Linked DNA regions of Daphnia pulex. The protein of the gene in region 2 interacts with the protein of the main gene of each other region in a pairwise test. Links are inferred from orthologs where the notes say so. Each region holds a gene or a part of one and is shown on either strand. Other genes may lie near its edges.

Region 1 (4,441 bases), on a different chromosome or scaffold from region 2:
TCGCCGCACGGAAAAAGCCAGCACCACCGCCGCCCGTGCCAGTTCCCGATTACGATCTTTCTGAAAAACCCCGAAAGATGGATGAATCCGGACAAGATGAGAAGGACGGAACTACTCCGACTACTATACGCAGCAAACCGGAAGGAACTAAGCCAGCTGTACGAGTGTCGATTGGTACATATCAAGAATTGCGACCTGAACCTACGAAATTGGATTTCTTGCCGCCGAAGAGACATAGTGTATCACCTGGCGGAGTAGGAAAGTCGTTGGACGGGGCCATCAAGAACCAGTTACAGACGGAATTGAATCAAACACTTTCTCGAGCCCGTTTGAGGCAGCGACTTCCTTCCTCTGATCTTGTTGATGAAGAAACAAAGAAACCCCCATCAGCTGAAATGAGTCCTGTTTTAAAAGAAATCTCTCCCGATCGACCACCACCTGTCCTATCGACATTCAGGCGGGCTCCATCATCAGATATTCAAGCTAAAATGGCTTCGTTGGCAGCTGCTGCCTCCACAACTTCACTTGGTGGAGGGTCGGCCCGTGATGTAACGATTTCTCAGTCAGCCGATAATAAAGTCACCATCAAAGTCCATCCCTACGTTTCCCGAACGGACTTTGGTCAAACGTAAGAGAACGATTCAGCAGCACTGTTATATTGCTCGGCTTGTAATCACACACACACCAAGTCACGCCTGCTTTCACTTTATTATCTAGACACTTTCCACGTTCAATGTTTTGTGTTTGAGATCGAAAGTTTTCGGGGGTTTATAAATATCTATTTACAGATTAATCGTCCTTTTTATTTTATTTTGGACAGAACGTACATCGACTGTGTCCCCGTGACCGAACTCTGATCTTCTTTTGTGTGTCGTCGAAAAAATACATCTCCTCCAGTGTACATTATTTTTCGCGTGGTTATATTTTCTTTTTGCATTTACACTTGGCTAGAAAAAGAAAGCCGGAGAGAAAGCACAAGATCAACAACAACAATGGCAACTTTCTATATCTATCATAAAAATGATGATGATGACTAGAGTAGCTACTGCCGCAAAAGTAAAAGAATTTTTCTGTTGTTGTCGTCGTCGAGATGTCGGGTCTCCACGACAAAGGTAAACAACAAATAGTTGCAACGTTTTTCAGGTACCTACATTCAGGTAAGGAATTGAAGTATGGCACCCATAAAGCCGCCATAGGCGACAGGCAGCTGCAGTGGTGCACACATTCTTCTTGGTTGGATTGAAAAATGAGGGGGTTCAAATGGAGTAGTGAATCGATAGGTCACGCCGTCTAGCCGTAGCCATGCCAATCTTGAACGTAATTGTATTAAAGAAGGCAGCGCGCGCACGCAAATGGAATACGACACGACCAGTGGTGGTGGTGGTGACCCACTGTTGATTCGTCGTCATGAAAAATATAAAATTTTACGATTGTTTCAACTATTCAAAGTCAAGAGAATCAACTCGTCTCGCAACATCTGCCACTCGATGTTGTTCTCGTTTTTATTCTCGTAATAATAAAGTGATGGCCAGGTGACGAATGTTTGAGGGCATGAAAGCGAGAAGAGGGGAAGAGAAACTCACACAGCAGCAGCAGCAGCCTTTGTTCGTTTTGTAGCGATTCAGCCGGCAGATGGCACGGCCACCACCAGGCGGCAGTGTGTCACTTGGTTGAGGAGGGGAGAAAGGAAAGGGGATAGATTCTTTTCGTCAGCAGCTCCATTCGTCTGAGAGCTGCTGCCAGGAACTGTTACACACAACAAGCACGCTCCAACGTCATGACGGCATCATCTTTGTGGTGAATCTCCAATGCCGTTATTTTTCAGCCTTTTACTCAACACATCGTCTCAACGTTTTAAGTTTTCCAGTAAGTCACAAATCTCATTTATTTTTGTCTTGCATTGTCATGTGTGTGTGAGCAACCAGTTGTCTCGTGGGGCCCTCGTGTTTTGTCTGGCAAGATGGTGGGTTAAATTGTTGGTATGTTATTCGAGTACGGTTTTATATATTGAGGTCAGGTGTAGAATTTTTGAATACGCGCGCCGTTTGAAAACGTGAAAGTCCCGCGCGTGCACGTGGTAACCGAACGTAGCGGTACTTTTTCTTCTTCACACTTTCAGTTGGTGGGAAATGCCGCGTGCAGAAAGAGAAACCGTGCGGGTGTCCCGCGTGCGGAAAAAGCAGGTCATCTGGCCAGTTTTACAAGAGAGTGAAAGGCAACTTAATGTGTGTTGGGAAGGTGGGGTTGACAGTCTTACACACACACACACACGACTATTGTCACGATTTTTCAAACGGTGAAAATGCGGGTTGATTGTCTCGAGAGGGAGATTTCTTATTATCTCGGTCACTACCAGTTATATAATAGGGATTACGAAAGTACGTTCACTTCTCGTATTTCTCCCCTCTCTTTTTTTGTTGGGTTTTGAATTCACCGAAAAAAGAATTTCTCTCTCCCCCCCTTTCATGTTTCCGGTATGGAGGATGTTGGAAGCAGGAACCCCCTCGGGCCTCTGATCTTCCCTACCAACTACTTTTGATTGTGTTACAGGGCAGCCCTGTATTTTTTAGCAATGGCCTCTTTTGTCTCCCCACCCCTGATGTGTCAGCGTCGGAGGGTGATACTAAGGGGGGAGAGCACGTGGGTTGCTATGGTTACCGTCCCCCTTAACATTCAACGAATCAGAGTGTCGTCACGATGAGAGAGAGAGAGAGGGTCAGCCCGGGTTGAAACGGAAACAGCTGTTGTGCGCGGCCAACATGGCGCAGCTGCCTACCAAAAAGAAAGAAAAGAATAGAGGGGGTATGGGTGTACTCACTTTTTTTTTCCTGACCCCCCCCCCCCTTTTCCTCAGGGTTTTTTGACCCATTCTCGAATGTTCCCCCTCCTCCTTTCAATCTATATGAAAGATGGTCTACTACACACAATAAAGTTTAGAGAAAAGACATTTTTGTCTGTGTCCAAAAACATCTTCCATGTGTGGGGGATGGGGAAGCTGAGATTCAGAGGGGTGGAATATTTCTGGGTTTCTTTGTGTTCAGCGGGGGTGGTAGAGAAGAACCCCAAACTGAAACCGTTGGGATCTCGTTGTTTGTTCCAAAAATTCCAAATGGGCATTGAAAAAAGTATTGACGTCGCTTTAGAGGGGGGGGCTCAGTGTGTGTGTGTGTGTGTATTGATCCGAGATGGAAAATGCTTGGGGGTTATTAGTTTGGATGGAGATTCGTTGGATCGATTCTCCCTCGTTCGTCACGTGATGAGTCAGCAGCAACACGTGCCTTAATCCGTTTGATTGGAGTGAATTAATTTTTTTAAATAGTCTTTTTATATGTATTTTTGTGTTTGGCGTCGTCACGAGGCAACACGTGTTCAGTAGTAGCCATCTTATTTGAAGCAGATCGATAACATCGAAAGTAACGTTCTGTGTGGTAGTCGTCGTCGTCGTCGTCGGATAGCAACACCCTCTGTCTGCAGCATTCTACATGTTGAAGTTGGGACGCCGCCCGATTATTGATCGGAAACCTGAGGTAGAGAAGGGGAACGTGGAAGAACCAGACACACACACAGCCCCTCTTGGAAAAGGAGGGATAAAGTACAGACAGGGGAGAGAGAGAAGGGGGGAGAACAAGAGGGGTTTGTCGGTAGCCAATAGGAAAGCTTCTTTTGTACATCTCCAACACAACGAACTGTGATCTCAAACACAAAACGCACTGATTCGGATTCACCACCGGAAGTTTATCTGAATTAAATGTATTTTTCTCGAATTTTATACCCAACAAAAGAAAAACCAAATCTTTTGGATGAAAGTAACTGGTGAAAAGTGGCCTACTTTCACGTTCACGCCAAAAAGGAAAAGGTGTATTATTTTTGCCACATTCACGATCCGAGAGAGAAAGTGCGTGACGAGGAATTTTCTCTTTTAGAAACTTTTCTTTAGATGTGTTTTCATCATGTTCTCTTTGTCCAAGTCGGTCTTGCAATTCCATGTGTAGTGGCAACAAGTTCAATTTCTTTCTTTTTCCAGGTGCCATTTGCAACTAGTGTCGATCGTCGTCATCATCGTTGTTGTCGTTCAATAAAACACAAATCTCTTGGTGCGATCGTTTAAATTTCGCCATGGCATCTTCGCCTAGTCCGTCCTCGTTGGATTCGGTCGGCACATCACCACTCGGTTCCTTCTCCGATCCCAACGAGCATCCGCTTTTGGCTCGCGATCTTGGACTCGGCCCATTGGTTGGTTACGGCGACAGTGGCGTTTTCAATGGAATGAATTCCACCAATTTTTCATCGTGCTCATCTATGATGCACAATTCAGCACTCAGCCTCTACCTCAACGGATTGGGTAGTAGCGGCAATCTGGATTCCGGATCAGCTTTAAAGGTATTTTACTTTTTCCCATCTAGCCCAAACACTAAGCCGATTGGGGAATCAGACGTAATTG
Region 2 (3,818 bases):
GACTGCCGCACACAACGTAAATTTACAGTCGATGGGTGGAGAAAAAGGAGAGAAAAGAGCATTTTCCTTCAAAAATCTTTCCACTGTTTTTACTTCGCTTGGTTTTTGTTATGTAAAATAATGGAAAAGGTTCGCTCTTTTCACTTTTGCCGCTGTACACTTTACAGAAAACCAAAACGCTAATTGAGGATGGGAAATTCTGTTTTGGGATCAAGTAAGGGGAAATTGATGTCATTTCTCAAGTCAATGAAGGAAGGGAGAAGCAATGAACAAAACAAGGAACAAAAAAAAAATGAAATAAACAAATCGTGGTGAAAGGAGTTGTTTCGTTTTTCTTGATTGGCAACGGCACCTCCAATCTCCCAAACGGAGTGTGTAGCTTGTAGAAATTTACGAAGAAACACAGAAGCAGAGAAAACAAAATCAATAAGCAAGCGCAACTCAGCGTAGACACGAAGTGGGTAAAAAGGAAGTGATCAAATAATGGACCACCAAGATGGCGATCTAAACCGACCCCTTTAAATCTAGCGAATTGAAGTGAACATCTGGGAGAGAGGAAAAGAATCAAACACAGAGCTGTTTTCATTTTCGGTGGATTGATGATTCACAGCCGCGAAACTTATCGACACAATCCATCAAATACCGATCGAGAATCCAAGAGAAACTCGAATGAGACGGTGGAAGAGAAAAGTTATTTCTTCCCCCTTCCGACTTTATAACGTAATATCATGCAGAGTTGGAGGATGGTGAGGGGAGGATGCGGACCAGTCGATTGAATGAGGATAGATGAAGTCGAAAAAAAAAAGGTTTAAAGTAAAAAAATACGAAGGGAAATTTCCTGTACAATGTACACATGTAAGGAAAAAGCTGTACAATGTACACTACCACAACGTATGGTACAAATGGTCAGTTGAGAAATCCAAGAAAGTTTTGAACGTTACTTTTTACCCTTGACAAAACCAGAAAGAACTTGCCCGTTTCCTTTCCCTACCCACAAAAAATTGATTTATATCCGTCAACTTAAAAAAAGAAAAAAAAATTAATAATAACAAAAATGGTGTTGGCTTCCCAATCAAAACAACGCATTTTTATGAGAAGATGGGAGAGGGAGGAAAAAGAGAACCAAAAGTTGAGAATTTTTAAACCAAGATGTGTTTTTTTTTTGTCTTGTTGTTGTTAACTGTCGTAGTTTTTAATAATGTTGTCGTTGGCTGTTTGTAGCGGTGGTGTTGCTGCTTTTGCTTCATCCGATGACTCCATTCGACGGGGGTCCAATAGGTCCCAAATCGACGTTATTCTTGAGGAAATATTTTTCCAGTTTGGCGAGAATGTGTTTGCCGTAAGTATACTTGCGGAGCGTGGAGACGTGCGGTCGGATTTTGTGCATGAGCAGTTTGCGCTGCGACGGCTCGGCCACATCAATCATTTTCTGCACGACGTAGTTGGCATACTGCGAAAGAGAAAAATAAGATAAGACGGTTAGAGCTCTTGAGCTGTCAGCGATGAGATTTCGTCACTAATTCGCACACGAACCTGATCCTTCATCATGGTGTGTAGGGGACTGTGCGGACTCGCGTCGTTGAAGCTGATCACCTCGTCAATGAGACTTGCTCTCTCGGATCGAGTGGCGTGCGAGACGCATTTCTCCACCACGTTGGAGGCGAACTTGTGCTGCGACAACGACAGCACCTTGCCCTTCACGGCTGTGACGATCCGCAATTTGTCCTCGGGCTTGCCGTGTTCTAAAGTTACAAACACCGACATAAAAAAAAAAGAGTGAGTAACGGTGCAACTATGCCTGCATATTAAACTTAGCAGATCCGTACCTAAAACGTGTTGGATCACATAGTTTCCGTATTGATCTTGGATAAGGGTTTCCGTATTGTGATGCAGCTCGTTCAATACTGGAGACGTCTGTTCTGGAGTGCAATGCTCGAGTATGCGTTGAATGACGCGGCATCCGTAAGGATGCGTGGACAGCGAAAGAACCTATTGAAACGAAAAAAAAATTGTAAATTAACATTAATGAAAGGTGTTAACCGTGATATGAAATGTCTCTCTTTACCTGTCCTTCAAATGCGTCTATTATGAATTGAAGCTGCATGGGGTCGACGCATTCGATGCACTTCTGCACCACGTGGTTACCATTCTGATCCTTGACACATTTGAGAACGTGTCCGTCTAGCTCGCGAACGATTTCTTTTTGTTGATCCGATGGCACTGATTCAAGTGCTTTCTGAATGACACGACAGCCGTACATTTGGAGGGCCAATGGCAGAACGTGGCCACGAATCTTCTGTGCCAGTGTACTCTTCTGCTCTGGCGAGCCAAATTCAAAGAATTTTTGAATGACGTAATTGCCAAAGACGTCCGTCATGAGCGCGTACGTGCCGACTATGATCTCAGTGAAGACCATCTGCTTTTCGGCTGGCGTAGCTCGTTCCAATTTCTGCTGAATGAAGCGCGATCCGTGCTGGTCTTGAGAGAACTCTACAATGTGGTTGGCAATGTCGCGCAATTGGAGATTGGGGAAGCGGTTGTTCCGGAAGTCTTCCAGTAGCCTTGATCGTCCCGTCATCTTGTCGAGGCCGACGCCAATGACTCCGTTGTGAGGATGTTGTGGCTGGCGGCCAGCACCTCCCATCTTGGCAAATAGTGAACCGCCCGCCCCCGCTCCAAACAGACCTCCGGCTCCAACGCTGCTGGGCGTGGTAGCTCCGTTGCGGAACTTCATCATCTCTGATCCTGGAGCAGCCGACATGAGCCGCCCGCCAGAAACAAACGGACCTAAACCGAGTTGAAGCCCAGAGGAGGCTCCACTCATGTTAGGCGGCGGAGTCAACGAGCCAGACGATAAGCCTAGCGGGCCAGGAGAAGCAGTGACGGTTCCGAGGGCACCGTAATTTTGGGGCCACTTTCCTCTGCCATATTCACCCAAAGACGGTGAGAAAGTTGACGTTGAATTCCGATCAAAAGAGTCGCGTCTCCCTTGTCCATTCGCAAGGCCTAATGACGGGGAACCAATCGATCCCAAAGCGCTATTACCGAATCCCAGGCTATTGCTTTGCTGCAATCCCAAGGCTCCAAAATTACTTCCCAACCCAGAGTTTGGTTGCATGTTCTGCAGGCCGCCAAGGCCTGGATTGTTGGGACCGTTGTGAGAGTGCGAAGCCGACGGACCCGGGGTGTTGCTGTACAGAGATTGCTGCTGGCCATTATTGTAAAGCGATGGCTGTTGTTGCTGCTGCTGTTGTTGTTGTTGCTGCTGCTGTTGTTGCTGTTGGGCTGCTGCAGACATTTGTTGTCCTTGATTGCCCAACAGTCTCATATTGCCCGAATTTGGACCACTTGGATTTTGCATTACCATTGGAGCGGGCGACATCAAGCGAACGGGACCGTTCATGCCACCATTTCCGATCCCTCTCATGTTACCCATCACCAGTGATCCATTTTGGTCATAATACGCTGGGATGACCTGATATTGACCTGGTTGGTGGACAGGCGGATGATCAGTAAGCGAATTGGGTGACATCGGCCGTCTTGGTTGGCCCTGTTGATGTTGACCGGGTGCTACTTGACCAGGAGCACCAGGCCCTTGCGGGATGACTCCTGGGTACATCCCCCATGGCGCCATGCCATAGTACTGTGGCATCATTGCTGCGTGACCTATCGAAAATATCCATAATTAACAAGAGCTGTCGAAAAAAGGCTTAATCTGTAGCATGACGAGGAAACACTGAACATAGCCACAACAAACACGAATGGCTTACCTGCAATCAAAGTTTGCATGTACGGCTCTTGATTGATAACGTACGGTG

What was found.
Region 1: the proteins of pumilio homolog 2-like (region 2) and brain tumor protein-like interact in a two-hybrid assay, tested with the Drosophila melanogaster proteins (2 studies listed by BioGRID, with this or other methods). The link is inferred for Daphnia pulex from reciprocal best matches to the Drosophila melanogaster genes pum and brat.

What each region holds. Positions count from the first base shown.
Region 1 is NC_060018.1:6,794,523-6,798,963, reverse strand, and holds the start of brain tumor protein-like, read left to right. Parts: upstream 1-1,431; 5' UTR 1,432-1,866; intron 1,867-4,024; 5' UTR 4,025-4,116; coding exon 4,117-4,380; intron 4,381-4,441. Other genes in the region: harmonin-like, read left to right, coding at 1-628, 821-857. UniProt on the Drosophila melanogaster protein: A NHL-domain family protein that functions as a translational repressor to inhibit cell proliferation.
Region 2 is NC_060020.1:2,897,442-2,901,259, reverse strand, and holds part of pumilio homolog 2-like, read right to left. Parts: coding exon 3,771-3,818; intron 3,667-3,770; coding exon 2,066-3,666; intron 1,990-2,065; coding exon 1,827-1,989; intron 1,743-1,826; coding exon 1,534-1,742; intron 1,451-1,533; coding exon 1,244-1,450; 3' UTR 1-1,243. UniProt on the Drosophila melanogaster protein: Sequence-specific RNA-binding protein that acts as a post-transcriptional repressor by binding the 3'-UTR of mRNA targets.